Linked DNA regions of Alligator mississippiensis. The protein of the gene in region 1 purifies or fractionates together with the protein of each later gene. This does not show direct contact. Links are inferred from orthologs where the notes say so. Each region holds a gene or a part of one and is shown on either strand. Other genes may lie near its edges. The genes, in order: RNF114 and protein mono-ADP-ribosyltransferase PARP12.

Evidence for each region.
Region 2: the proteins of RNF114 (region 1) and protein mono-ADP-ribosyltransferase PARP12 purify together in Homo sapiens (affinity purification with mass spectrometry; 3 studies listed by BioGRID and IntAct, counting the BioPlex papers as one, with this or other methods). This does not show direct contact. The link is inferred for Alligator mississippiensis from reciprocal best matches to the Homo sapiens genes RNF114 and PARP12.

What each region holds. Positions count from the first base shown.
Region 1 is NC_081832.1:13,431,399-13,446,671, reverse strand, and holds the start of RNF114 (E3 ubiquitin-protein ligase RNF114), read left to right. Parts: upstream 1-9,868; coding exon 9,869-10,032; intron 10,033-10,667; coding exon 10,668-10,818; intron 10,819-12,878; coding exon 12,879-12,985; intron 12,986-13,728; coding exon 13,729-13,843; intron 13,844-15,011; coding exon 15,012-15,119; intron 15,120-15,273. UniProt on the Homo sapiens protein: E3 ubiquitin-protein ligase that promotes the ubiquitination of various substrates. In turn, participates in the regulation of many biological processes including cell cycle, apoptosis, osteoclastogenesis as well as innate or adaptive immunity.
Region 2 is NC_081827.1:107,906,954-107,922,196, forward strand, and holds the start of protein mono-ADP-ribosyltransferase PARP12, read left to right. Parts: upstream 1-8,482; 5' UTR 8,483-8,523; coding exon 8,524-8,984; intron 8,985-14,636; coding exon 14,637-14,772; intron 14,773-15,243.

The DNA.
Region 1 (15,273 bases):
GTCACACCATCTATACTAGTTTAGCATACCCTTAAAGTCTAGGAAATAGTTCACATAGCAGAGGAGTCCAACCACAGGCCCTTCAACTTTCTGTGAATGTGGACACAAGCCTCGTTCTCCCTGAAGTACCCTTCCAACTATTATACAGATGTTCCCCATTGTGCCCAAGCCAAATGGATGCAGCCTCAGCCTGTAGAGGCAGCTGGGATGCCTTCAGAGTCCTACTCATCAGAACACAACAGTTTACTGACTAAAGGGCCTAGGTACCATGAACACACTGGAGACTTGAGTCTTAGTAAAGTCGCATGAAGAGAAAAATCATTTTACTTTGGCTGCATCAGAGGAAATGTTGCAAGACAGAATGCAGAGGGGGTCTCTCTGCTTAACTACAGATCACTCCCGTGTTTCTCTCTAGCTGTAGGACACTGATCCATGCACTGGAGAGACCATCAATCTGCCTTACCCCTTCTATCCATGCCTTTCATACAAACTCATCCAGCTACAGAGTCTAATCTGCCACCAGGCTGTAGCTACCCTAAACATCTCTCACAATGCTGGAACAGTGCATATACAGCTCAATACACAGAGCAGGCATTGATAGGTACAGCCAAGGTTTTAGTCTGCAACTGGCACTTATATCCAAAGGCCAAAAAGTTGGTGCCGCTGCTTTCTTTGAAAGATTATGTTAACATAGCGCAAACCAGTCATTTATGGTTTTTACCTAGGAATTGACATTTGCACTTTGGCTTCACTGAATTAAGGTCTCCTGCACAAAAGAGCTCTTTTCCCCGACTTACAAAGTGCTATTTAACTAAATCCCTGAAGCACAGATGTCCAAGTGGACATGGACCACCTGCTGTATTTGTGGTCTGGACATCAGATCCGACATAATATAAGCTTTCATTTTTAATTGATGTACAGGTCTAATCTTTACTTTTACAAGCACAATCTCCCAACTGTGGCACATGTAAACTAACAGTGTTGTCTTCCTGGGTTTGCAGTCAGCCTGAAAAATTCAGAAAGGTGAACTTCTCCACTACATATTAAAAGTTACTGCCAACAGTAACTACCTTGATCTTTACAGAAATAAAAGCAGCAGCATTCTGTCACTCGATTAAAAACAATGACAATTAGACTACAGGACACAACTCCAAAGGAAAATCATTTAGGTCATTCAGGGCAAACTAGATTATGATGGGGAACAAGCTGAAACTGGTAGGGAGCTGAATGCTTTAACTCTTCTGTTTTTTTGAGAGATGTATGAAGAAGCAGCTTTGTTTGGCAAGACAAAACATCCTCTGAAGGAAAAAAAAAAAAAGGGGGTGAGGGGGATCCTTCATAAAGACCTCAGGCACTGCGACTTTCATAGCCACCTCCAGCTCCAATTACAACTTGCCACTTGTGGATGTGCCAGGGTTCACTAAAAACATGGCTGCAAATCAAAATATGAAAGACGACGACAACAGATGACAGCTTTCGAGAGCATCTGTTTTGCCTGTTAACATTTACAATTTCTGGGAGTTCAGACTCTAATCTCAACCAGTTCACTAATCATGGGGTGGGTTTCCATAGGTGCTAGGTGGAAACAGTTTACTTTTGACATCTCCGATTAGAGTACTTGGTAAGTACTGTACACAACTTGCCCTTGATTAATACAGCTGGAAGAACAGTGGTAGCTCAAGAGAATTCATCAAAATACAAAGCCCTTTCACTGCAAGTGACTTACAAGATTTTAATGTCTTATGGCTGATCTCTGACCTAGTGAATGGTGGTGATCTTAGCCCAGTGTCTAGCGGACGGACATAAAGAAAAAACATCTAAATCTGGTCCCTTCAATAAAAGTCGTGGCAGGGAAGTCAAAGGGTAGATGTGCCAGAGAGATTCAGTTATCCCCAAGGTAAGACAGGAGCGAACATACGGTCATAGCAACATGAGGAAAACGTACAGTGTGGCTACTTAGGCCATCATCTTTATGCGAGATAAAAAGGATTTTCATCTCTAAAGATTTTGCCATACACTAAAAACAGCTACAGAATTGCACTGAACATAGGAAAACACTCAGCCACAAAAAATGGTTGGGAATGTTAAGAAATCCCAGATGAAAAATGACTAAGAAAAAAAAAAAAAAAAAAGCAAGAAACATGCACGTGCAACCCTTATTCAACGACAACCATTTCCTCTAAAGTATTAAAACCCAGTTCCAAACACATCTGAAGAAGCCTTGCTGGCGGGTATTTGGGTGCGGATTGTTTTTCTTACAAGGAGTGCCACCTTCATGGCTTTCTGCCTCGGCAAGAGCGGTGGCATCCCTCCTTCAGCTGCTCTCGCTACAGCAGGCCAGCCGCTGAAAGCCGGCGTCTAAGGAAGGCAATCACTTCTGTCCCACAACAAAAGCTGCCGTTTCGGATGTGTCTGCAAGGTCTGATTTTGCACACAACGTCTCTAAAGCAGCCGGGCAGCAAAAAAATCCCCCACTCCACAGAAAAGCCTCCCTGCAGCCATTTCTGCCCCCGGCGCAGGCAGCTCTGGGGCTGTTTTAAGGAGGCATTTTTCAGAGGAAGCCCAGACGGAAACCCAGCGCTGCCCGGCAGCCCCGCAGTCCTCCCCAACCGGCGCGCGCGGCTCGTCCCGACGCAGCAACGGGCCCGGCCCCGCGGGGGGGGGGGGAAGTAGCCCGAGTCCCGCACCAGCGCAGGCGGCTTGAGCCCAGAAGGACCGCGGCCGGAGCCGGACAGGGATGTCGCCTCCTGCTCCCTCCCGCAGCCCCTAGTCCCGCTCCCCCGGCTCCGCAGGGAGCTCCGTCCCCCGCTGGCTCCCACCCCGGGCCCCGCCCGGCCGCCCGCACTCACGGAGCGGAGCCGCAGCCACCGCCAGCCGGAAGTCACCCGCGACCCGGATGCAGACCCCGAGCGCCCCCCACAGCCGGAAGTGACCCCTGCGCTGCGCCAGCGGCGAACCCCGGCAGAGCGGCTCGCGCATGCGCGCTTCTCTCTCCGAATCCAGAGAGAAAAAAATCCCGCAACCCCTTCCCCCACCGGGTTGAGCCCCCGCCCGGAAACAGGGGAGTGACAGCTACAACCCGGAAGTAGATGGTTGGGGGATGACATAAGGAGCGTGCCTTCTTTTTATGCGCATGCGCCTTGATGACGTCACGCCGAGGGTGATGTCATCGAGAGGATTTAAAGGGCGAGAGGAGTAGGCACCTATGAGAAGGGTTTTGTTGGCTCTCTTCAGTCTGGGCTAGTACTTGAGCTCTGCCCCTGTGGAGGGGTTTTGGGGTTGCCACCTCTGTAGCAAGATGTGTTGTCCTGCTATGGTGGTCTCTGTGACATGGAAAGGTGCCTTCACATGCAAGAGACAGCATCCCCCTGCATGGGGCAGAGCCAAGGCTCCCTGCAGTCAGGGGAGTGGGGCTGAGAGAGGCCTCTAGAGGTTGTGTTGCCCAGCCCCTCCTGAGGTAGCATCACCCCTGTCCTAACCACCCTATCTAAACCTCCACTAAACTTGGCATAAGGCTACTGTCACTATCAACACAGCACAAGCCTCACACCCCAACCTGCCATGGGTAAGGCAGGGGAACCAGGCAGCCGGTGTCCTGCTTCTATAGGATGTCATTGATACACGCTCGAGATCCTAGGCTGAGGGCCGCACCCCTGCTACACAGGAAGGCAAACCCCCCAGGCTGTACCAGTCTGACCATGGGGTAACATTTTTTCCTGACCCTGAGTATCAGTCTGACCCTGAGCAAAGGGTCAAAAAACCCTCTAGCCAAGAGCCTCTGGCTTTGGTCCCAACAGGAGCATATGCACCCCCCAAAGTCCCCCCAAGCTCGGCTGTAGCCAACACCCAATGCCCAAGTCTTAAACCCCTCTGACACATGAAGCAGAAGGGGGTGGGGGAGCGACTAGTGAAGCCCAGAAATGTGGGAAATACTTAATGGTTCTAAAGTCACGATGCCTTTAAAGAAGCTTCTGTTTTCATTTGTCTTCTGAGTCCTTGGAGGTTCCCGTTGGTCTCATTCCTGATGTGTTCTGCAGCCACAAAAGTTGGAAGTATTTTAATGGAAACTGTGAGTCTCATGGCATTATAGGACTGGCAGCTGAGGCTTTGGGAGAAACATTAAATTATGTGGGAGTTGTCAAAAAACTCTCAAGAATTGACAGTGGGGGGTGATATTTGTTTTTGGGGCATCCATAGCACTTCAGTGTATGCAGTACAGCAGTGATCCTCAGTGCATCTGCCTGTGGGGTGACAAAGGATGTTGCACGTGAGTGGTAGGAAAGAAAAGTTTAACTAGGGCCATTAGGTTACTAATCCGGTTTGAACTCTCAGCGCTCTGGGATTTTTAATGACTCTAAATAGTCAGGTCTTTGTACTCTCATCTGAAAGAGATTAGGCCACTTCCAGCTGCATAATTTCCTCCATTCTCTCCACCTGGTTCAGGGCTGACTCATGAGAAATAACAAATTGCATCACACCCTGCTCTCTGCTAGGTGTTCTTGCATGGCTTCTGTTCAAGTACTAACACAACCCTATTTGAACAGTGAGAGGTAACCATACCATAGCACATTAAAAGGGTAAAGGTGCAACATATTAATGAGATACTTATGTTGTCGGATGGTAATTAAATGTGTGCCCATTAGTGATCATGTTTGGCAACATGTGGGGCATTTTCTGTGTTTCTGCAAGTTTAAATTCCATAGCAGCTGAGTTTGGTCCAGTTTGGCAAGATGTAGACTTTGGTCCAGTCTGGCAAGATCATCAAATTCCACTGAGAGTCAATTCAGCACATAGAAATCTAAATCCCTGTTGAGTTCCAGATCAAACTGGATTAGGAGGAAGGGGTTGTGGTGAATACATCAGCCCAAATCCACAGAAATATTTAGGCTCCCATTCAAATCAGAGAGAGCTAGATACCTATGCAAGACTTAATTGCCTAAATATCTATTGTGAATCTAGCCCTGTGGTTTATCTGTGATTAGAGCTAATGATTTACTTCCTAAGGTAAAAGAAATTTATTCCAGCATAAGCAAGACAAAAAATTAAGTGCTCTTTTAAATAATGCAGGATGTAGCTACTCAGTCACAACAGAAAGCAATTATTGAATCATTATACAATTATTTTATAAACTGATTTAATATCTACTTATCTTGAAAACCACAGAATAAGAGCTGCATTACCCCTTTCTAAAAGGTCAATATTTATTCCAGAGCCAGAGCAGTCTTGAAGGTAAATGAAGGGGAAAATAGAATCACATTTTGCTACTACAAGACACTCAAAACATATGTGAGTAATAACATAATGAATAAAATGTGGACAATCTTCAGTCCTGGGGCTAATGTCAGAAACCAAATAGATTCTGTTTGCCGACACCAATTACTTACACTCTGCTGCTTTAGCTATTTTTAAAAGCATTTGTTTGCTTTCAGTAACATGGGAACATTTACCTCTTGGTCCTCTTAAAATCAGCCTGGGTCTAACCAACTCCAATTTCCTTTACATTCTGCCTGAAGGGAGTTGATTTTTAACCTAGAAGTCTGCACTTTTTCCACTATATGAACCATAATAGGTTTGTTCTTCTACAGCAATCAATCACTTTTTAAGTTCTTAGCTGTGGGTGAGTGTGCTTTATGGCTGAATCAAAGCTGAGTGTTTTGCCAGAACAATGCTGAGTGTTTCTCAGAAACACAGTTGTTCTCTCTGCAGCTTCAGTGCACTGTTTCATATACAGCAAGAGACTCCCATCTGATAGAGCATTTAGCGAGCATGGTATTCTGGAAGCCTGCATCATTTTCATCAGCAGCAATGCAGAAATGAAATCTAACTTACATGATCCAGGTATCAGGAACCATGTTTGACATGATAAAAGCTCATACTGAATTGGAAATATTAAACTTTTGCAACTTAGTCTTGTTGCAGCTGGTTTACAAATTGAAATGGGAGACCATCTCTCCCCTTGGGTGTACACGTGTAATAGGGGTATGACAAGCACAATTGTGATAAAAGAAAATAATTCTTCTGTCATTGGCAGTGCGTTTATGGCTTTGATTTTCTAATACAGCTAGTTTCATGACAACTGTCACTTGGCACAGTAATGGAAGCAGTTGGCTTCACATATACAGAATGTTTTCTTCTTTTATTTTTCCTAATTTACATTCCACACCACCCCCCTTCTCTCTAACTTCGTCCCAACCAAATGTTAAAAAAAGGTTAAGTTAAAACTCATAGAGTGGAATAGAGAACTGGGAAAATAGCTCTGTAATGCAAAACATGTATTGCAGTGACTCTTGGAAGAAGAGAGGCTTCTTTCTTAGATGAAAGGTATATAATTTTTCTATTCATTCAGTCTAAAAAGTTCTCTTCAGTACACAAAGTTTTCTGAATTACTTTGGTCAGTCCTGCATGGCAGAGCTGAAATGGTGTGTGTATAACTGATGGGCAGGAGTACAAGGGAACCTGATTCTGTATTCATAGATTTCATAGACACTAGGGCTGGAAGGGACCCCGGAGGATCATCGAGTCCAGCCCCTTGCCCCAGGAGTAGGAAATCAGCAGGGATCATAGGATCCCAGCAAGATAAACGTTCAAATGTCTCTTGAAGGCATTCAAAGTATTAACAGGGCTGTTGCATGACCGACTCTTGCCTGGTAGGATGAAGGCAGCCACAGTGTAGCTCCTTGGACACTCATTGTTCCCTGTGCCACTACCTCTTTTTTTTTTTTTATCCTGTACTGTATAAGGATGCAGGTATGCAAAGGATTTGCCTCTTATTCTCGCCCTTGAAACAGAACTACTTTGGACCTGATTCAAATCTCATTGAAGACAATGGGACTCTTTAGACTAGCTTTCAGGTCAGCTTTCTATACTTAGCACTAGCACCCACATATAGCTTCTGCTCACACCTGGAGTGCAGCACCTTATGCTTCCTGCTGAACAGTGCAAAAGGACTTACAAAATCAAATCCTAAAGCATAAGGTGACTTGCTGTGAATAGTAGCCAATATCTAGTATTTCAGGGGAAAATGAAACCTCAGTCAGTATTCAGCATGGGGAAATTAGGCAACTAAGCCAGGAGGTATGAGATTTGGAGATTCATATTTTAGCAGCACCACAGATATTTTCTGGCTTGTAAAATCAAGATAGAGTTTCAGTCCCTGTTGCTGAAAAATAAAGCAATTTATTAGTGGTAAGACACATGCACAGCTAGGTGAAAAGGAGCTCTCAAAGAGTAGTTATCAATGATTTGTGGATGCAGGGAAAGCAGTTGGCATGATATAACTTGACTTCAGCAAGGCTTTTGATACCATCTCACACAGCATTCTTGCAAGCAAGCTAAGGAAGTATGAGCTGGATAAATGCACTGTAAGGTAGATAGAAAGCTGGCTTGATCGTCAGGCTTAACAGGTAGTGATCAATGATTCAATGTCTAGTTAGAAGTCAGTATCAAGTGGAGTGCCCCAGGGGTCGGTCCTGGGTCTAGTCTTGTTCAGTATCTTCATTAACGATCTGGAAGATGGAATGGATTACACCCTCAGCAAGTTCACAGCTGACACCAAGCTGGGGGTAGTAATAGGGTAGGTCTAGGATTTAGAGTGACCTAGACACATTGAAAGACTGGGCCAAAAGAAATCTCATGAGGTTCAACAGGGACAAATGCAAAGTCCTGCACTTCGGTGTTACCAGATTTGCCCATCACTTTGGGGTGTGCGCATTTATTAGGGATACGTTTCTAGGGTCTTTGTAATTTAATTAATATGCTGCTTCTGTTACTTGTGTTTCTATACAGAGCTGTATCTTTCCCTTCTGCAGGTCCTCACCCCCAATGGAGCTATCTTGTAGGACTCAGTTTCAAGGGTTCCTCCAGCCACCAAATTCATCAAATACACACACTAACGTGACACGCCTGACCCGGCCAGGTTGATCAGCATGTACAAGCTGACACCCTCATATACCAGGAATCAGTTCATTAAGGTAACAATAAAGTGCAGGCAGACACAAGCACACAGGTGAACAGAATACCTCTGAATCCGGCTGGGTGGCCAGCTGACACCCTCATGGGCCAGCATTCAGTTCATTAGGGCACATCTGAGCCAAACTGGGTCAATCAGCCTATACAAGCTGATCCCCTTATGTGTCTTAAACTCAGCACATCCCAATCTTTTGCCCTTACTTTCCTAGCACTGATAGCCTCTTGATGAGCAGTGTTGCTGCAGAGCAAGTGGGGAAGGGGAAGCAGAGAAGAAAAAATACATCCAGTTACCACTAGTTTGACTATAAAAGTTATTTATTGCTAAGTATATGAAATTTATGACGGTACTAGTAGTAATAGACATACAAGGAAAAATGAACAAAAATGATTACAATATTACCCTGTTTTAATTGAGTATTTGGGGAAACCTAGCTCAAGCTTGACTAATAAAATTCAGGTTCAGAAAGCTATGCCTAGAGAGAAAAAGAAAGAGAGAGCGAGCGCGAGCTGGGATCTCACCGTTCCAAGGCACTTGGGCGGTTTGTTGACAGGCAAAGTTCCTAGCACAATAGTTGAAAGTTAAACAGGCGACCGAGAGATGATCTGTTTCTCCCAGCTTCTCAAGAGCAATAGCGGATGGTGTCAGAGAGATTATTCTCTCTTGAAGCACACTGCTGCTTTACAGCTTTCTTGTACCCTTATAGTCCAGCTTCTTCAAAGCATTTGTTTAATTGTGTAAATCAAGAGGGTCCCAAGCCATCATTGACAGGGAAAATCCTGTTATATAAGCAGTTTCAGTTTAGATGAATTACCTTTTTCAGTGACAAGGGATTATCTGGTTTGGAACATCTCCAGAAACTGATTAACAACCAGGAAAAACATAAAGTTTTAAGGAGTAACCAGACACGTAGGAGCCAGCTTGAAATTATTATGAATATAGAAGATATACTGGAAGGGATACCACATTGTTTCTTCTCAAATGGCCTAGCTATGCTTGTACTGTGAAGTCAGCATCAGTGTTTTGTATTTTACCTGTTGTGAATAAGCCTCAGCTTCACATGACTTTCAGATCTTACTGTAGTCTTTTAACGTACTTAAGGGGATTACTTGGAGAGTTTATAAACTTTGTGGGGAGGACTTGCACCAGTCATCTCAGGAAAAGTATGACAGCATTTGTGCTCAGGGCTCCAGTGGGCTGGACCCTGTGAGGAACCCTTAACCATTGTTCAAATGTTGCCTGTACCCTCTCTGACTCGGTTTCTTGCCTCAGCATTCCCTAACCCGGCAACCAAGTTTTAGTCAATTAAGTTTAAATAGACCTCCCATACTGGGACCTGGGAATGTACGGCCAGAGATGCCTATTCAACTTTTCTTCTGCTTAGTTTTGGTTAGATGAGGGGTGGGGGGGGGGAATACAAAAAGTCCTTTGTAAGTCCAGCAAGCTGGGTGCAAGGGCTCCCTCAGGAACACAGAGCTGACAGGTAACATAGGACACAACAATCCCATGCATCGCTACAGGCTTGGGACTGACTGGCTAAGCAGTGGCTCTACAGAAAAGGACCTGGGGGTTGAAATTATGGAGCAATTGGCGGTGCATAAAAGCATAAAACTCATGACAAACCATCCACTTAACACCAACAGCCCATCTCAGCCCCCCCAAAAGAGACAGGATAGGAGGCTGGGGCTGCAGCAGTCGCTGAACCCAGCCAGCTCCACACCGCCCTCCAACACGGAAGCCCCGCCCCCTCCAGCGGCGCTGGGCGGAGCCAACTATTTTGCTTCCCCCCCCCCGCGAGGCCCAGAGGCGTGGGGAGGAGCTACACTTCGCGCATGCGCGTGGCCCTGTACGGGGGCGTAGCCGCGCCGGCGCCTGCGGGCCACCGTCGGCGGTGGGAGTGGCATGCGGAAGTGCTTCGCGGAAGTCAGGCGGCGGAACATGGCGGGGGCGGACAACGGCTCCCGCTACCCGGCCGCGGCGGCGCCGCAAGACCCGCTATCGCGTTTTCTCTGCCCCGTGTGCCTGGAGGTCTACGAGAGCCCCGTGCGGGCGCCCTGCGGACACGTGTGAGCGGGGCGGGCGCTGTACGAGCGGGCGGGGGGAGCGATCCACCGGGGCGGGGGCCGGGCAGCCCTGTGCGAGCCGGTCGCGCCCTCTCGTCCAGTGAAACCCGTCGCCCAGGGGTGTCCCCCCCACCCCGGGCCCGTTTACCCCGCGGTGTACCCCCCCCTGCCCCGCAGGACCTGCCCGAGCCCGGCGGGGTGTGCCGGTGCAGGAAGGGGTGGGTTTTGTTGCCAGTTAAGTTTCGGGTTCCTGTCATGAGAGAGCCCCTGTGTTTGCACGGCAGCGCGCCCTGCCCTTTGCCGTCCTCGGCTTTTGTTGCTCGCGTGGGATGTTTCTGAAGCCCCAAACCTTCCAGCAGGAAACACTTTGGCCATAAATTGGCCGGAGCACCAAGGGACGGGGCCGCACCTAACATTCACGATAGCTGTTTTGTTCTTGAAACGTAGCCCTCGATACCAGTTTGTCCCTTTTGAGTGTGACATAGGTAGGGTGAAGGTTTTTGATGTGCGTTGTCCCTTGTGACTTCCCTTTCGTTATTGGCCAAATTTAAGGTATATCCGTGAGGGTCTCGTTGGGAACGGTGCAGGCGTTTTCTACAGCATGCGTTTTTAGAAACCTTGTATTTCTTCCCTATTAGTTTTTGCGCTCCATGCCTGCAGGAATGTCTTAAGCCGAAAAAGCCAGTGTGTGGAGTCTGCCGTAGTACCCTGTCTCCTGGCAGCACAGCTCTGGATCTGGAAAAACAAATTGAAATGACAGAAACTGCTTGCAGTGGCTGCAATAAAAAAGTATGAAAGCATTTAAAAACTTCAGTACGCAATTCCCTATTTAGCCACACCTGGAAAATAACATTTTTCTTTTCAGCCTTCTGGAGAGTCAGCCATCAAGATTTTAATGTTGTTAAATAATGCAGAGAAATAATGCTTGGTAGCACACCAATGTCCTCTCCTCCTCCCCACCCCAGCCGTGTCTTCTGTTTCTTCCTTTGAGAGGTGAACTTCAGTTTGTTAGCTGATTACTTGCCCCTTTATTTGAAGTATGCAGCAAACATGCAATGTAAAGATGTCATGGGAACTTGTGCGCGCACATTTCTGCAGGGAGAATGCTGTTTTATAAATGCAACGTTTGTCCCGGGAGAAATCAAGTGAAACCTGTCTGGAGAGTCTGTTGGACTGATTACTGACAGAAGCACCTTTCTGATAGAGTTATTTGAAATTGTATTCAGTATATTTGGGGTAGTTTGCTATGGTGGTGCTGCCTGGTATCTGGTAAAAGTCATGTCTTCTCCAGCTTCTGCTGTACAGATAAGAGTCTAATGCTGTGGAAATATGTAAAATGTAGACATAAATGTTATCCTTCCATGATATTATTAATACAGAGCCCAGACTTCAGACGTTGCAGCGTAGAAATTATAGAGCACTGCTGTTACGATGGCAGTGCTGTAAAAATAACAAACATTGATTATCTCCTGATTACTCTGCTACGTGACCAATTGACTTTTTGATAGTCAGCATAGCTTAATAGCTAACATAGAACTAGCTTCCACCAGATAAAGCTAAAGCTAATTAGTTAAAAATCCTTAACGTGATAGGGTTCCTTCTAGATATACCTTATACAAATTCCTACCAACTAAAACTTTTTTTTTTTTAATTGTATGGCTTGCCTTTCATGCTGCATTTCCTGTAACTTGGGTCTAGCCAGTTTCACTTTCGTTTCTAGGCAGTTTTGTTTTCTGACTCTTGGGTACTAGAAAAAATGCAAGTATTCAAATTTGTAAAAAGGTTGATTTGTCATAAAAGAAAAAACTGTAGCCTCCATATTTTACTGTCTGAATAAAATATAAACCCTCCAGATTTACCACTGTTTTCTACCAGAGTCTGCCACACACATTTGTCAGAGTTCTGGAAAGCATCAGTATTCAAATACCTTCAATTCTTATTTAGTTATAGACCTCTTACTAGGTTTCTTTCTCAGTTTGACACTTGTCTTATCAGAATGAATAGAGAAACGAGTTGCTAAATTTAATAAAATCTTCTTATATACTCTTTGCAATTAATCAGAATAACATTAGCAGTAGAGGTACACTGATGCATTGGCTCCCTTACTGCAGAGACCTCAACTGTCTCCCCACCACACCCCTTCCTTCCTCCCTGCTTCCCCCCCCCCACCCCGAGCAGACTTACCAGCCAGACGCTGCTCTCCATGTTGGTGGGCTTCATATTAGCAGTCGGATCAACATTGGCCCAATATGGCTCATTAATAATTGGCCATCAGTATCACCCCCAAAAATCTTTATTGGTGCACCCCTGATTAGTAGGACATATCAATACTAACATTTTGTTTAACAAGGAATCATTGTACCCTATGAGAGGAAGAAATGGTTACAATGTAAGCTTGTGATCATAAGTATTTTTCTAGCACGCTTAATTTACATCTGGCCTAATACTCTGTTGTGTTTACTTTTATACAATATATTGGCTAATGATTCAGTAGCTTGTCTCTATTTGAGCCCATAACAGGGAAGAATGGCAGGCAGAGCTGGAACGTTGGCTTGGTTTAGTACAAAGTAGAAATTAGTTTATTTTCCTTTTGATGTAGAGGGGAAAAAAAGCAAGAATTATGGTACTCGGGTGAACAGGGAGTCTAAACATTATATTATATCATAATGTATCACAAGTAGCATGTTAACCTAGTGAGTAGCTTCTGTTCAGAACAGACTGCCTTGTGCCACAACATTCAGTTTTCCTTATTTTAATGTTCTCTGAACAGAATGTTTTCTGATTCCTGTGATTTGTAGTTCCTGTACTTAACCTTAATAACCTTCACATTCTGTCTCTTGTTTGCGTAGATGTACCTTTCAAAGTTACGCAGTCATGCAGCTTCTTGTTCAAAATACCAGAACTATATAATGGAAGGTGTGAAAGCTGTAACTAAAGAACCACCTTGTAACACCAGGTATTTCTGTTTCCAGTCATTTACAGGGAGGTGGTTGGGTAAAGATTTTTGATGGTGGAAGTTTTAGTTAATGCCAAAACTTGCTTTCCTGATTTGTTTTTATACGTTTTGGTGCATTTGGTGTGTTGCAGGCACTTTCTTGTGCAGCATGTGAAAGTACAAGCAAAGACTGTTAGATCTTCATTTAGTCTAGGGGGAGTAGTTCTTTTAATGCTGTATTACAATTAAACTAGGCTCTAATACAGAAATGATATCGCCCAGGTGCACTGCTCTACTGACTTAAATTGCCCATGCACAAACTATTACAAGATCAGGGTCCTGGGTAAGGCTATCTACGTTTTATTTTAGTTTTAAACTTGTTATTCTGTCTCTGATTAATTACTGAAATGAAATGAGAAATGACTACATTGAACTGGTCACCCATATTGTAGACTGTCTGGCAAACTTTCATATTCTTCACAAAAATGGTGCAGACCAGGAAAGCAAGCTGAACTTGATATTTTTGTAAGGGAATAACTGTAATTGCCAGATGTATTAACTTTGCCCTTTGAGATGTCATTTCTTCACTGATAGAAAAAACAAGTTCTTAAATTCAGCTTGCTCATATATCACACAATAAGTGGTGACCCTAAGTGCTCTTTATTTAAATATTCTCTCTCAAATTACCATGAGTAGCCAGTCTCTCATTAGGTATTAACTTTCTAAAATGTAAACACAATCTTTTTTTTTTTTTTTTCCCCCAGGAATGTTCCAAATCGCTTTACCTTTCCTTGTCCTTACTGCAGTGAGAGAAACCTTGATCAGGAAGGACTAGTTGAACATTGCAAAAAGTACCACATCATGGATGCAAAACAAGTGGTAATGCTTACAGTATCAGATTCAGTATAATGCTGGTGTTGCAGAAATATGCCAGCAGCCTGAAGCTAGTTTTAGCATTAGGTCCCTCGGTGATTTCTGCTCGGGGACCTTAGACACTTAAGTGTATGCCTGATTTTAAACTGCAGGTATTCCTTTTGAGTTAAATAGGACTATCCTTGTGAATAAAATTGTGTGTATACAAAAATGTTAATGTTTGGATATTACTCTTGTTTTGAAGATCTGGGCAAATTCAAAACACGCTTCTCGAGGAGTCTGTGGGGAGGTAGACAAGTTTTCAGAAAGATATCAAAGCATCTTTTAAGTGCCTATGCTCGCATTTAAAAAAACGTGCACTAAACTAGCCATCTTAACCTCTTGAAGCTACAAGTAATGTTGGAATGAAATTTTGACATCCAAGCCTTTTATGTACCATTCCCTAAATCCTGAGCAAAAGTATATAACACTGTCTGATGTGTAAACTTTTTAATATTGTTACAAGCATTTACACAGATCTTTACCTACAGATATGGCAGTAAGTAGAATAAAAACAGCAAAACTTGAATTTGGCTCTAACAATTAATAATTGGGGTGTAGTTTTGAAAAACTTCTCTAGTTTTAATTTACAAAATCACAGTCTCTTTTTCTATGAAGACATCAATATGTTCTACAGGAGTGTTGGTGTGCAGATATTTTATAATCTGTAGAAATGAAGGTTTCTAAAAGTATTTTAGAAAGCAAACTTAGTTCAGTATTTTGCCCTCCACGAGAGGGAGGCTCAAACTACCAGTCTTACTTCAAAGTCACAAACTTCTGAATTATGTTAATTCAGTATCTGAGGAACCAATTGGTTTATGTAGTGTTCTGTGGCTTGACAAAACACTCTCAATTCATTTTGCATACAAAGTGAAATTCTGGTTATATGAACTGTGTTCATAAGCTTCACAATCGTATAGAAGCATTTTTTCTGTTTCTTTGGCACTTTCCTCTCTCAATGTTTTTTAAATTGGTTACTTAGAGGCAAAGACCCTGGACTTCAGGAGGGAAATATGCGTGCTAAAAATTGCCATGAAATAAGAAAGGCCTCTAAAGAGGTCTCTAGTTCTGAGGGTGTGCTTCCCAGCTGAACATGAAGGGAATTCAACATTGGCTTTTGTGGCTTTTTTGAAAGGTTTGCCCAATTTGTGCCTCAATGCCATGGGGAGATCCCAACTACAGGAGTGCCAATTTCATGGATCATCTTCAGAGGCGGCATCGGTTTTCCTATGATACTTTTGTGGTATGTAATTCCTTATAAAACTCTTAGAATATAGCAGAATGATTGCTGAGTTTGTATGAAAGTGTAATTTAGCCATTCATGTAGATACCATCCTATTAGGGGCAATGTATCCCTTTCTGGAGTTGGATAAAATTCTGCTTGCTTTCTGTTGAAA
Region 2 (15,243 bases), on another chromosome or scaffold:
CTTTTGTTGTAAACAATGTATAGTGAGTCACTATGAAAATCTTTAAAAATGGTAGATGACTACTTTGTATGTGGAGGTGTATCACATAGTGCAGGAGTGTCAAAGACATGGCCCATGGGCTGAATCCAGCCCACAGAGCCCTATCATTTGGCCCACAGTACTACCTGCGGGTCTTGGAGTTGACCCATAGGCAGCATGCAGGATGTGCTGGATGGTCCTGCAATCTATACATGACACCTGCTCCAGCCATTCAGGGGATGTGCCACATGTGGTGCCCAATCCAGCATGTTGGCTCCATGCCAGATCCAGTGGTTCATCTCAGAGAAGCCTCCACGTGTAGCATGGCGCTGGAGTGGTGGAGTGGCCACCCCATGCAGCATGACCCCTGTGGCACCAGATGAGTTTGACACCCCTGACATAGTGCCTTTCCACAAATAATATATGAAGAAAAGAGTTTACAAAACCAGTCAGTTGGTACAGCTGAAAACAAGGTTAACCTGAATTTAACATAGCCATCTGGATAACCATTCGGTTAGCCCAGTCAGCCATTCCCTGGGAAAACATTTTCAAAGATTCTGCTTTGGAGATATCTCCAGGTATGTTAAAAAAATATTCTTGAATTTTCAATGAACTCAGATGTTGAAAGATGCTCAAATGAGCTTACAGATCCATGTAGTGTATTCTTTCACCTTCTAAACTAGACAGTGGCCCATGAAGTTAGATTAGATCAAAGCTAATTGTCCTACTCTAAAATATTTAAACTCATAGTTTATACTTAGAATCTATGCTGTTCTGCCACTTTTCTTCCCTAAAATAATTTTTAAAACCTTTGAAAAACTCCCAGTATCCATATTGGGGAGAATTAATTCTATGTCTATTAATTATAAATGTCCTGTCTAGGAAAACTCCCTATCTCATGGAAGAGCTTAAAAAAGGAAGGGAAATGCAGTCACTTTCATTCTATTATAGTGGAGCTGGGGGGCTTCAGAGACTCAAATTCACTGAACAAACATAATTGATTAAAAATATAACACACAACTGTTTCTTCTGCAATTGCTGTTCAAGCAATAAGGAACATACAGTTGTAATTATCCATAACCTTATTGGGAATGTATGATTACCAAGCTAGTCATTCAGACTTGAAGATAGCATAAAGTATATCATTTTCATGGTGCAACATTTCAGTCCTTAAATAAGATGTTGGCAGAGTCATTCATTGAAATTGCTATCACTAAAGCCCAGCTCCTGTTATAAACAAAATGTGGGCTGACCCCTGCAGCTGTGCAGAAATCCACGCGGGCTTTTTGTGCAGAGCCTATTGTAGGCTCAGCACCCAACGTGGTAATTTGGCCTAGGCATAATAGATCAGATGGAATTATGTTACAGTGATCTTTAATAAAATAAGTAAGTATCCTTACCTTTATCTTCGGTATGTTGTAGGTGAAGAAGGCATTAGTTGCTTTTTGTCCTCTTCGACTAGCACATAAGCAATTCTTACACTGGAGACATTGGATTGTTATGAATAAAGACATTTTTCCTATTAGCACCAAGTACTTCTAAAGAGAAGAAAATATAATGTTGTTGATTATATGTAATTCATACTTGGGGAAGTTATGTCAAATTGAAGAGGTACTTTTATTTTTTTCTTCCTGAGGAACATGTTTAAACTTGTGTGACTACTTCTATTATAATAGGAACAAGCAATGACTTTTGGCATGTGTATGAGGGAAGGGGAAAAGGCCATTTTGCAAACTGGCAACCTTCTTTACGTTGATCTTTGTCTGTGTTGATTTGTCTTTTAATTGAATTTTCTGTGCTTGTGAATGTTGCCAGGCTGATAGTTTTGCTCTTGAGCATTGGGAAAACCTCCATGTAGTCAGAGAGTAGGGACAGCACCGGCAGCAGCAGGACGAACTTCCCTCAACCAATATACTCCAGGAACCACTAGCTGTGGTAAGATAACTCAGTTTCAATGTCGGTTTCTTTTTATGCTGTGCTTGCTGAGGAATGACGTCAAAAGTTTTAGCAGTTTGGTGCAGTTGATATCAATCTGCTACTAAATCCCCACTAGCCCAATGAGTTAAGGGATTTGAGATTAGGGAACCTCACACTGTGTTGACTGGAGAGCTTTAATACAAGAATGTCCAAGACATGGCTTGTGGGCCATATCCAGCCCTTGAAGTCCCATTGTCTGGATCCTGGTGATGTCCCTGGGTCTCAGAATTGAGCCACATGCTTCATACAGCATGCACTGGACAGGGCCCACATATAGGGCCTGAGACACAGACCATGTGGTGTCCAGCCAGTCATATGTGGTGCTCACTCTGGCTAGTCCAGGACCTATGCTGCATGTAGCATCCACCCCAGCAGGTCTGGGGCTGATGCCATGTGTAGCAAAGGTCCTGGACCAGCTGGAGCAAACACCATATGTGGCTTGGGTCTCAGACTGGCTCTGCATAGGTGTCACATCTGGTATTATCCTAGACTAGCAAAGATGGACAGACTGCACTGGATCTAACATGCTGGGGGTTCTTTGGGCCCAGTGTGGCCCAAAGGACTGGCTCTGCACTGTTCAGCCAGTCTGTGGACCAGCCCCGTGGCACAGGCCAGATGAGTTTGATATCCCTCCTTTAATACATCAGAAATGCTCTAAAGTAGATATCTAAGGTAGATTCATTATGGGAATCTATGCCGATAACTTATCAGAGTAAGGCACAGTGGTGGACATTAGGGCTGTGTGAAGCTTCGGTCCCTGATTCGATTCAGTGGCCAAATCTCTGAATCCGAATCGAATCAAAGGACCCTTTAATCTACCCAAATCGAATCGGAACCCTCCAAATCGATTCAGAGAGATTCAGAAAGATTCGGAGATTTGGACATAGACACAGCTTTAAATATTTTTTCTACGTACCTCTAGGTAGCAGGGGCTCATGAATGCTGGGGTGCATGGAGTGCCCCACAGGAGTGTGGGGGGCTCCCCAGCATGCTCAGCAGCAGACCTGGAAGTGGACCAGAAGCACTTCTGATCCACCTCTGGGTCTGCCAGAGAGCATGCTGGGGAGGCCCCCACATGCCTCCCTGGCTCGGTGACTGGTGCCTTCTGGATCTGGGGTGGGGGCACCTGGGGTCCCCCCACAGCTGATCACCAGGTTGGGGAGGCACGGGGAGACCCCCAGCACACTCCCCAGCAGAATTGGAAGTGGACCAGAAGTACATATGGAGGGCCCCCCAACACTCCTGTGGGATGCTCCAAGGGCCCCAGCATCACAGCGATCATGAGCTGCGCTTGCTACCTCAAGGTATGTAGAAAAAACTTTTTAAGCTGTGTCTATCTCCGAATCACTGATTCTCTGAATCAGCATAAAATCTTCAGAATTGGATTTGCCCAAATTGAATCAGGGACAGTGATCCGAATCAACAAATCGAATAACTGTCCCTGATTCAGGCCGAGTCCGAATCGAATAGGGCCCACTTTGCACACCCCTAGTGAACATACACTTCACACTCGCTTGGAAAGGAAATGCTTTTGGTAGTTGGCAGGATAACTAAACGTGTTGGTGATGTAACTGAGTGAGCTGGATGGGAAAAGAGCTAGGGAGTGGGGCGCCTGCCCAGTGGGATTGGTGAAGAGGGTGTGAGGTGGTATGGTGCCAGGCTGGGTTTGAGGATGCCTAGGAATTGGACATGGGTACTTGGGTGTTATGACAAATCTTTGGGCCCCAGCTGTTTGTCTAGCTTCTTCTGCCATCACTTTCTTGTTCTCACTGGCTGAGAGTGAACACAGGAAGCAAGAGGTCCTAAGAGGCCAGGCAGAGAGGGAGCCTGCAAAACAGATGCCATGGCAGATCTTGGTAGAAGAAAAGGGGTGTAGACCCCAGGTTTTTGCTCTGTCCTGCTATTCCAGCAAATGAATTGTCAGGCATGAGCAGTTGAGGCTTGGTTAAGAAAAGCCTGGAAGGGGTGAAATTCTAACTTCTAGCCTACTTTTCTATGAGTGAGCATGTGTAGTTGATGTTTGAGCTTTAGCAAGAAAGGTAGTGTGATTGGCAGGTATTTGAGGCCACAGGCTTGAGGTAAAAGTGAGAAATAAGTGCTGTTGAGTGAAAGATTGTAGTAGTTTGGATGAGTGGCAGGTTCTATCACCAAGGGGCCAGGAATATTCACTACATGATTGGAGGATGCAAACATGATTGGAGTATACACTGAGCATTGGACCAACAAGTCTGTCAAGCAACAAATCAATCAAGAAATTGGAACCTATGAACTGTTGTTGGAGCTTGTGCAACAAACAAAGCTGGAGAGGTTTGGACACATCGCAAGAAGACCAGACACTCTTGCCAACACCAGAATGCAGGATGCTGTGGAGGGAAAGAGAAAAAGATATAGACCCAAGAAAAGCTGGGGAACCAATATTAAGGACTGAACAGGGCTTCAACTGATAGGGTGCACAAAGCTAGCCAAACACAGGCAGAGTGGAGGAGGGTTGTTACAACATCTAAGGCAGCTAAACAGTTGTAGCAGCCTTGGGACTGACTTGACTTGACTTGATTGGAGGATGATGAGGGGGTGAGTTACCAAGCTCCCACTGATATAAAATAACACAGCCGAAGGATCTGGGGGTATGTAGTGTCTCTGTCTCTCTGTGTGAGTCTCTGTGACTTTTAGTGCATGTATGTGCACTTGGATCCATGTGAAGAGGGTGAATGAGAGTGGTGAGAGGTGCGTGCCTGTATGCCTGAGCTCTATGTTCTAAGTCTGTGAAGCTGTGTTGAGCTGTGGAGTATAGTTGCTGCTGTGTGTTGAATTGTTGGTCTCTGTGAGAGTGGCTAGATCACTCCAGGGCCAAACCAGTATTGCAGTCAGATGCAGTGTCTGGACCGTATTTTGACTCCTTGTGGTAAGGGAGGGCATGATGTCTGAAGTCTAATAGTCAAACTGACTGGTGAGACAGGTGGCCTCAGCTACTGGGAGGCTTTACTGAGCTGGTCACTCACTCCCTCACCACAGGGAGTCACAAATATGGTCCAGACACTGCATCTGACTGCAATAATAGTCTGGCCCTGGAGTGATCTAGCCAGTCTCACAGGGACCAAAAATTCAACACACAGCAGCAACTATGCAGCTCAACACAACTTCACAGACTTTAGCAAGTATGAAATGACTGCGCAGTAACCGCCAGTACCATGCAGTCCCAGTGCCGCATGGGTCATTTCTGACTCTACTGTGCAGTAGCAGCGAGCTACTGCACAGTAGTGCCGGTATCACAGATTCACAGAAGCTTAGGGCTGGAAGGGACCTTGTGAGATAATTGGGTCCAGCCCCCCTTGCTCTGGACAGACTGCTGGGGTTAAATAACCCCAGCAAGATGTGTGTCCAGTCTCCTTTTGAAGATCTCCAGGGTAGATGCCTGTACCACCACCACTGGGAATCTATTCCAAAGTCTGGTTACATGAACCATGAAGAGGTTTTTCCTTATATCTAGCATGAAGCCTTCTTCTAGGTGTTTATGAACATTGCTCCTGGTTTTCCCCTGGTGCGCTTTGGTGAATAGTTGTTTGCCTAGCCCCTGATGCTCTCCCCTGATATATTTGGAAGCTGCCACCAAATCCCCCTGAAGTCATCTTTTGTAGGCTGAATGGTCCCATACCTGTCAGCCTTTCCTTGTATGGCTTGCTCTTCAGGCCTATAATCATATGAGTGGCTCTGCTCTGGACTCTCTTAAGCTTCTCCACATCCTTCTTGAAACATGGCACCCAGAACTAGATGCAGTACTCCAACTGTGGCCTCACCAATTCCAAGGAGAGCGGGAGAATAACTCCCCTAGTTTTGCTTGAGATGCATCGGTTGATGCATGCCAGCGTATTGTTCACTCTGCTAACTGTGGCATCACGCTGGTGGCACATATTCATTTTATGGTCAATTATGACTCCCAGGTCCCTTTTGGACGTTAAGCTAGCTGGTGTAGCACCACTGAGCCTGTAAGTTTGTTGTGGACTTTTCCTCTCCAGATGGAGCACTTTCCACTTCTCAGTGTTGAACAGCATCTGGTTCTGGCTACCCATCTCACTGATCTGTTTGGTTTCGCCTAGATCATCAGCCTACCCTGATGCATGGCTGCACATCCCCAGAGCTTAATGTCATTGGTGAACTTTGCCAGTGCTTTTCACCCTCACATCCAGATCATTGATAAAGGTGTTAAAAAGCACTGTTCCAAGTACCAACCTCTGGGGGACCCCACTGGCTACCTTCCGCCAGGTCAACACAGATCCATCTATTAGTACTCTCTGGGTCCGACCTCACAGCCAGTATCCCATCCGTCTAACTGTTGAATTGTTGAGCCCATAATTCCCTAGTTCAGGGGTCAGCAACCTCTGGCACACGTGCCAAGCATGCTACGCAAGGCCATTTTGCTTGGCACACCACCACCAGCCTGGGCTCTAAGCAGCTGCTGCCAGCCATGGAGCCCAGGCTGCTCCCAGCTGGGAGGCTGCAAGCCCTGCTGTAAGCACATCAGGCTCCGTTGGCTGACTGTAGTCGGGAAGCTGCAAACAGCTGCTCCAGGCTCCAGCATGTCAGCACTCTGGCACCTTCCAAGGTAGACATTGTGGTTTTTTCAGCACTCTGGCCAAAAAATGTTGTCTACCCCTGCCCTAGTTTTACCTTGAGAGCCTCATGGGGCACCAAGTGAAAGGTCTTCATAAAGTCCAAGTAAATTACGTCAACCTCATCTCCCTTATCCAGGTGGTGAGTAACCTGGTCATAGAAGGAAATGAGGTTAGTCAGACATGACCTACCCATGACAAACCATGCTGGCTGTTGTTCAGAATTTTGCCTTCTACTAGTTTATCACATATGGACTCCTTGAGAAATTTTTCAAGGATTTTTCCTGGGATTAAGGTCAGGCTGATCAGCCTCTGGTTCCCTGGGTCCTCTCTCTTCCCCTTCTTGAAGATGGGCACAACATTGGCCTTCTTCCAGTCTTCTGAGACCTCTCCTGAGCACCACAAATTCTCAAAGAGGTTCACCAGTGGTCCTGCAATGACTTCAGCTAGTCACAGTTCATGCCTGCTGATGTTGCGTCCCTGTAGCTCATCACTGCAGTGACATAGTGTCTCATGTAGACGTAAAACATAACATAGAATGCAGGGGCCTGCAGGGCAGTGCAATATAAAAGAAGTGGTGGAGGGAATGGACTTGCTGGGCTCCCCTCAGGAAAAGCGAGGCAAGGCACCTGCAACTGGGGGCCCCCCACCATGGGGAACAACAAATTGTCATACAAGGCAGTGGCAGAGCGGGCACATAACAACAGCAGCAGTTCTCAACCAGGGTGCCCTGACCCTTTGCGATGCCTTGAGAGCCTTCGAGGGGTGGTGTGGGTTGCCACACGATGTTACAAAGCACACACGACTCCTGTGATAAACCCAGGGAGTTTCAAGAGGAATTCCTAGGTGCCAAACCTTCTGGCCTGCTGTGGGCCGAGTCCTTCGCAACAGCAGAATTGCTATAGTGTTTTTCTGCAGTCAGAAAGCAAAGGAAAGCTGAGCCCTGGCCTCTTCCAAGAGAGACCCCTCAAGTCTAGTCCACCTAGGCGAACCTCAAGTCTATTGCGGGGGAGGGTGATTTTCCAGTCTAAAAGGTTGAGAACATGGCCTTAAGGACAGCGGGGAGAGTGCTGGGACCTGACAGGCCTACTTGACACATACTGGGAATTTGGCATAGGTGGCAGAAAGTCGGGGCTAACAGGGCTTAGCCCCCACAAAACTAATTTTGTGGTGGCCAGTGACAGCGCCACCACCACGCCTCGCTGCCACAGCACTGCACCCAGTGCCCCCACCGTCTGCTCTGCTGCCACCGTGCGTACAGCAACAGTGCATGCCCGGGGTGGAGAGCAGAGCGCACCAGATAGTCCCCACTGGCCCTCCAACGAGTCCAAGGAGCCGGTGGACACTGCCCAGTAAAACTCTGCCTGGAGACGCGAATGGACCAGGGACAGGAACGGCCCCGCAGTCCTCGGAGGCTCCTCCCGGCCAGAGCCTCCTTCGTGGTGAGATGTACTGCCAGCATAGGCAGGGCCGGGCTCTTTGATATGCCATGGGGACCAGCCAAGTAAAGCTATAAGCCCCCTTGGCGATGGGGGCCACTAGGGGCCTAGCGCCCATTCCTCGGGACAAATAAAAACACAACGGGGACGGGAGCGAGGGTTTCTGAGGCGACACCAAGCTGAGTGCACTGGACAAGCACCCCAGGACCTCGCACGGGGCCAGTGGATGTTGCCCGGGGCGTGAAGGGACCAGGGACAGGGGACCAGCCCGGAGCCTGCCTGGTGCCTGGCTGCAGGGCCGGGGTCTGGCCGGAGGCTGGGCACAGCCCGCCATCCCCCCCCCGGCGGCGGCGGCAGCAGCAGCGGGCGGGCGGGCGGGGGGGAGGCACAGAGCGCGGGGCCGGGCTCGCGCAGCCCTTTCGGTTTCGTTTCCCCGGGCTGGGCGCCGCCTCAGGACCGGCGAGAGGCGGCGGCGCGGGGCGATGCGGCGGGGTCGCGGCCGAGCGGGAGCGGGAGCGGGGGCCAGCCGGAGCCCCTGGCGCGGGCCGCAGCGCAGCTTCCCGCCGCAGCCGCAGTCGCCTGCGCGGGACTGGCCCGGCACGGCCGCGCTGGCCATGGCGCTGCCGCCGCCGGCGCCGGCCGGGCTGGGGGCGCGGGCGCTGCAGGCGCTGTGCCGGGCCGGAGGCTGCCTGGAGCAGGGCGAGCTGCAGCGGCGGCTGGCGGCGCCGCCCGAGGAGCTGGCGCGGGAGCTGCGGGACGCGCGGAGGTTCGTGCTGGCCAGCCGGACCGGCCCCGGCCCCGGCCCCGGCCCCGTCGTCGTCGTGGTGGCCGCCAGTGCCGTGCGCCTCTGCCCCGAGCCCCTGGCGGGCTGCGCCGGCGCCTGCGGCCGCCTCCACCTCTGCAAGTTCTTTGTCTACGGCTGCTGCCGCAACCAGCGCGCAGGGTGAGCGCCCGGCCCCAGCCCCCCAAACCCCTGGGCACCCCCAGCCCCCGCATACCCCCAGGCACCCCAAGCCCCTGGTACTCGGGGGCACCCCAGAGCACCCCCAGCCCCAGGTACCCTGAGACCGTGGTGCCCCCCGCCAAGGACATTTCCCCCCAGTGCCCCATCACCCTGTGGGCTAGGACCCCCCCCCCCCCTTCGGCTTTGCCCCATGCTGCTGGACATCCTGGGCTGGCCATGACCTGCCTCCCTAGGAGGCCTCCCTGACCCCTCTGCTCCCACCCCATGCCCCCCAGAGCAACTGTCCCTAGGCACGGGTACTTCCCGCCCTCCTGCAAGGGCCCCAGGGGATAGCAGCCGTAGAGCCGGGCGGGGCACCTTATCAAGCCCTGACTTTGTGGCAGGGTTCCTTTAGGAAATGGGCACCCCTTTGTGTGGGGAGATCCTTACTTTGAAGCCGATTTAAATTTATTGCGGGATTGGACAGTTAAATCTGTTGCGTGATTCGCCAGTGAATGTCACGATCATTACTTTGCACAGGGCCAACCTAAATTTAGCGTGTGATTTGCCAGTGAATGTCGTGACCGTTGCTTTGTAAGTGAGGCTGGTCTAAATTTATTGCACAGTTCACCAGTCAAATTTATTGCGTGGTTCACCAGTCAAGTTTATTGCACGGGTCATCTGTGAACGTTGTGATCGGGACTTTACATACAGGGTTGGTCTAAATTTATTGTGTGATTCACCCGTTAAATTTATTGCGCAGCTCTCTAGTAAACGTTGTGATTATTACTTAGCTGGTTGGGCTGGTCTAAATTTTTTGCAGTTTACCAGTGAATGGTGTGATCGTTACTTTGCAGATGGGGCCAGCCTAAATTTATTGCGCACTTTGCTGACTAATGGTGTGGTCATTAGTTTGCACCGGTCTGGATTTATTGTGCAATGCATTGGCTAAGTTTATTGCACTATTCGCCAGTGAATGGCATGATCATTACTTTGCACGGGTGGCCAGTCTAAATTTATTGCGTGATTTCCCAGTCAGTTGTCACATATGTAATGTGTTGCAGGGGACGTGGGTTGCTGTTTGGTAGGTGAGCACGTTGCTCAGGGGTTCAGTGGTTATTAGGGCTGTGTGAAATTTTGCCAGGTGTTTTGTTTTGAAGCTGTTTCAACAGGTTTTGAGCTTGAGACAGCGAAATCGAAATGAAACAAAAGGCTTCAAAACAACTTCAAAAAGAATTGAGGGCACTTGAAGCTTGGCTTGCTTGCACCTAACAGAAACTAAGGAGAGGGAAAGGGAAGAGTGGGGGGAAGGACTGCTCTAATATTGACTGTGTAGCTGACAAGTGATTGTAATTCTTCCCTGAGGTCCCTTCCAATTCCAGTGCTCTGGAGGGATGGAAAAACAGCACAAAAAGCATTGCTTGAACTGAGGTTTCTCTGTGCCTTCATGCTTACAAGTGACATGAGTTTTTCTCTGAACAGTTTGAGGTTCAGTTTCCCTCAAACTCCTGCACCTGTCTCCTTGAAACTTGGCAGGTTTCATGGCCTCATAAGGGGGCTGCCATCCATGCTCTTTTCATTTGAATCAGGAAAGAAATGACAGAGTTACAGGCATTTTTGTGATTCTCTATTATAGCCTATGTACGAAATGTCAAAACAGCAAAACAGTTTTGATGAAACAAAATGGAACAGTGCTTCAAAACAGCGAAACAAAACAGTGTTCCTTCGAAACAGTGAAATGGAAGTCGAAACGAAGTGGTGCTGTTTCGCACAGCCCTATCGCTGTTTCCATCTAGTGCAATTCAGCTCTTCCATCAAAGGGATTCAGAAGGCATGTCATATGAGGAAGGCTACCTGGACATGTCTACAGTCTGTACCATAAAGTGGGGGGAGACCTTTAACAACCGAGGGCAGAGTTGGAGTAGAGAATAAGGTTCTTTACTTTCAGATGTGAGGGCTTCAGAAAGTTGGAGACCTGTCAGGTTGCCCACTTTTTACAGGTGGGATGGTTGCTGGGTGCAGCATGAGGGTAGTTGCAATTTTTCTCCTGTCCATTTTGTCATTTAAAGTGAACAATGGCTTTTATTGATGTTGATAGTATTATAGAGGCATCTGTTACACTAACCTTGGGCAGAGGAATTTGGAAAACGGGATGCTTGCTGGTTTTTGTCTTGGCTTCAACAGTTACAGCCCAACTTTTCACTGTATCTCCTACTCCCAGTTTTTGCTTTCAGGGCATTTCCTGGAGTGAAGGTTTCCCGTAGGGGCTCAGTGTAGTACTAGAACAGTTCTCAGCCTTTTTTGGACTTGCAGCACCCCTCAGGACAGCCCTTCTAATAGTTTCCTCCTGGAATAAGCACTGCTTTGTCCCCAGCTGGAAAAAAATGAAATGTCTGCTTGATGTGATTTAAGCCATAGAGTGTGATATACTCAGAATTATGTATTTATGTAGGCCACATAGTCCTAAAGGTACAGAGCAAGATAAAATAGCTCACATGCTTTGCAATGATTGTGTAAACCATAGAAGAGAGAGAAATGCATTGCAATTGTGCAACTGCATTTATTGAGAGGAAGTGAACATGCTTAATTAAATTAATGTGTTGCACCATTTTTGAAGAGAGCTCTGTGTAATCAAAACTTATCAGATAAAAACATAAACATTTATTTTCAGTAGATTGCTAATACACTTCTGGATACTAAATAAATATTTCATAAAAAGCTTCACTTACAACAAGGTAGTTTGCTGGATTGGGTGACTCTTCATCAGATACCATTAGATCTAAGGAAGTAGAGTGATTCTAAAGAGGATCTAAGGAAGAAGGGCCCTTATAAAGAGGATGAAGATAGCCTGTTTGCTGTCCCCACAGGGGACAGGACTAGGAGCAGTGGCCTCATGTGCACCAAAAGAAATTTAGGTTGGATATGAGGAACAACCTGCAGACTTTGAGGGTGGCCGAACATTGGGACAAGCTACCCAGAGAAGTTGTGGACTCTTCATCCCTGGAACTTCACATGAGCAGGTTGAACCAACCTTGGGCTGGGATGGTTTAGTCAGTGATGATCTTGCCTTGAGCAGGGGGCTAGACTAGATGACTTCATGAGGTGCCTTCCAGCTCTGCTTTCCTATGATTCTAAGCAAACTTAATTTTTTGCCTCAACTCACCATTTCCTGCTTGATATCAGTTATTTCCCTTCCCAGTCCACCCTACTTTCTTTCTGAGCAGCTAGCAGACTGGTTTGAATTCTGACCACATTCACTGGTTTATTCACATGGTTTGATTTACACTGGTGGTTGTGGCTTTAGCAGATCACTTTCTGCCTGCTTCATGTGAATGTGCAATTTATAGACTAACTGTGAATGGTGGCCATAATATGGTGTGTGTTGTTCCTGTAATATATTTTTAAAGCAGTGGGAACAGGTGGTATATACAGACAATCTAACATTAGCATTTTTATGTAGAAGCTACAACAATGAATCCATAAATAAATAACCAGCAGCCAGGTTTATGTCCGATCATGCATTTTTAGTTAAGATGAAGGTGAAAGGTAGCCTACCAGAGGAAGGGGTGTAGTTGAGTAAAGGACCTAGAATGAAGTGTGGATGGATGATTGACTCTGAAAAATTATTTCCTTGTTTTTGGGGGTTAAGTTGTAAGTTGTTTTTTCCCCGCCCCCAAATACACTTGTACTCTTCCCTTCTTGCCCACTTTTGTTAGAGGTCTTATGTCTTGTTTGCCCCTTGCAGAGATGTTTTCCTCCAACCCTGTTACTCTGTTCAATGGATCAACAGTATCCAAACCACAGAGTCATTGGATCTGGCCTGCGGAGCTGGGGGGCTCCACTTGCACCAGTCAGGGGATGGAGAAGAGGTGGTGAGGGCAACAGTGGCAGGGCGGAAGCATTGGTTTGCCTTGGATGCAACCTAAATTGATCTGGCCTGCCACTGCAAAACCTTGCTGACCCCTGCTCTGTCTTAATTTGTGCTCAGCCTAGGTCAGGGGGTGGCTACCTTTTCCTACAGTAGGCTGTCAGTCCTCTGCTGCATCCCAGCTCTGTGAAGGACTATGATCTCACCCTCCTCATACAGCTTCTGAAAAATGTGTCACTGAAAACTGTGGTCAAAGACAATGCTGAGTGGTGAAGCCAGCAGCAAGCAAACAGTGAGCAGAGGCTGCAGTGGGGAGGGGGAGGGAAGAGCCCTTTGCTTTGAGCTGGAATCCTACAGAGCCCTCCGCAATATGCCTGCAGCATGGGGTTGGCCTCCAATGTGGAATGCGGGCTGGATTCACATTCATACTCTGTGGCTTAAATCATGTATCTAATCCAAGAGGGATCAGCATGCCATTAGTAAAACACAGACTGGATCATGAGCTGGATCCAGTCTGTGGATCTCTGCCTACATCATTCACTGTTCACCTATTAGTTGAGGAGAGGAAGGAATAAGGTAGCATTTCAGACAGATCAGTAGGGAGAGCAAGTTTTATATAAGCAAGGTGAGGAGCATGAGAATGCTGTGTGGACTGAGTTTAGGGAGAGAACACCAACTTTGTCATGTGCTCCTTTCCTTAAACTTGTCTCTTACGGACTGCAAATATGTGCGTGTTGGGGAGTTTGTCTGACTGCACCCCATTTACGTAATGTCTTCTGGGTGAGAAAATTATACAGAGTAGAGCAGAATACAATCTTAATATTTGTTTACTTCTGAATACTCAAAAGATATTTCTAATTCCTTATACTAACAACACAGTAAAGTGTGTGCATGCTTGCAGGATTCAACCTAGTGGGGGAAAAATGCTACTAGCACAGTAAAATTGTCTGAGGACTAGAGGCTTGGTTAAAGCGCAACAAAAACAACTTAAAATCTCCAGTGCAAACATGCCATAATTTAAAAGTAATCTTCAATTATGCAGTCACATTGGGCATCATCACATGTGCTCTGGAGTGGGGGGCGAGGGGTGGTGCTTTAATTAGAGCGGCTCTCGGGAGCATCTCGTGTATTCAGCATCCTGCACTTCAATATGGTGGCCGGGGCAGTTTAATTAAAGCTCATTCAATGAGTTAAAGTGCCCCTGCCACCATTTTAAAGTGTGGGGAGGCTGAATACATGCGATGCCGAGGCTGCTTGTGCGCTAATTAGCATGCTCCAGCAGGCTCGATCAATCAAGTCTGCTGGGATGTGTTCTAAATCAAACATGTTGGAGCAGGCATCAGGCACATGCCGTTGTGCTCAAGACACCGATAATAGGCAGCAAACATGCAGAACCACCAGGATTGTTTATATGTATGAGGCACTCAGGAAATTCCATACAGAATTTGAATATTTCATATTGCTCAAGTTTAGGACTATAATGTCAATGGGTGATTTGGAAATGTAGACTGTTATTCTTGCTCCTTCTCTATTAAGTGAATATAATTACCAGGTGATCTGGTATTTATAAGCACTATTGTTGGCATTCTGTAATACTGCCAATGAGTTTTCAGTAATTATGGCAGTAAATTGGAAATGGTATGGTAATGATCCTCTGAGTAATTTTTCTCTGAGACTAGTTAGTTTTGTGTGCAGTATAAATTGTTCAATCTAACGTATCTCCTCTAGTGAAACTATGCTGATTCAGTTCACTTTCTTATGTGTCTGGCTTCTTAAACATGTAGGAAAGAATGCAAATTTATTCATAACCTACGATCGGAGCATAACTTACCTGTTCTGAAACACCATGGGCTTGAGTGCTTAAATGATGATGAACTGTGCCAACTTCTGCTTCAGAATGATCCTTCACTTTTACCTGAGGTAAGCACTACTGCAGAATTTGCTGCTTCCTTTACAGTGTGTGTCACAAAAGAAGTAGCATTGAATCATAAAGTTGGACTGGACCTCAGTGCTCATCTGATTTTAGCATTTGCTCTTTCCTAGAGCTGGCTAAATCCAGATATCGTACAGTTACATCCTGTGATGAGGAAAGTAATAAACAACTTGAGCCCATGTATATTCTTGTATGGACTTATCTTCACCTACTCTGAATAATTTCAGTAAAGTCAATGAGATTACTCATGTTCTTGAAGTTAAGCATGTGTAGGCATGTGTATGATCAGAGCCTTTGATTGTACATATCTCCTTTATAACTCTTGTTTTTGGATATCTTCATTGACCCAAGACCTCTACTATGTCAATTTCTTAAATCAGTGACGGATTGCAATTCAGATTACAATGTACTGACAGAATTTGGGGGCAATAAAGTTTGAAGTATTAGTACTGGGATTT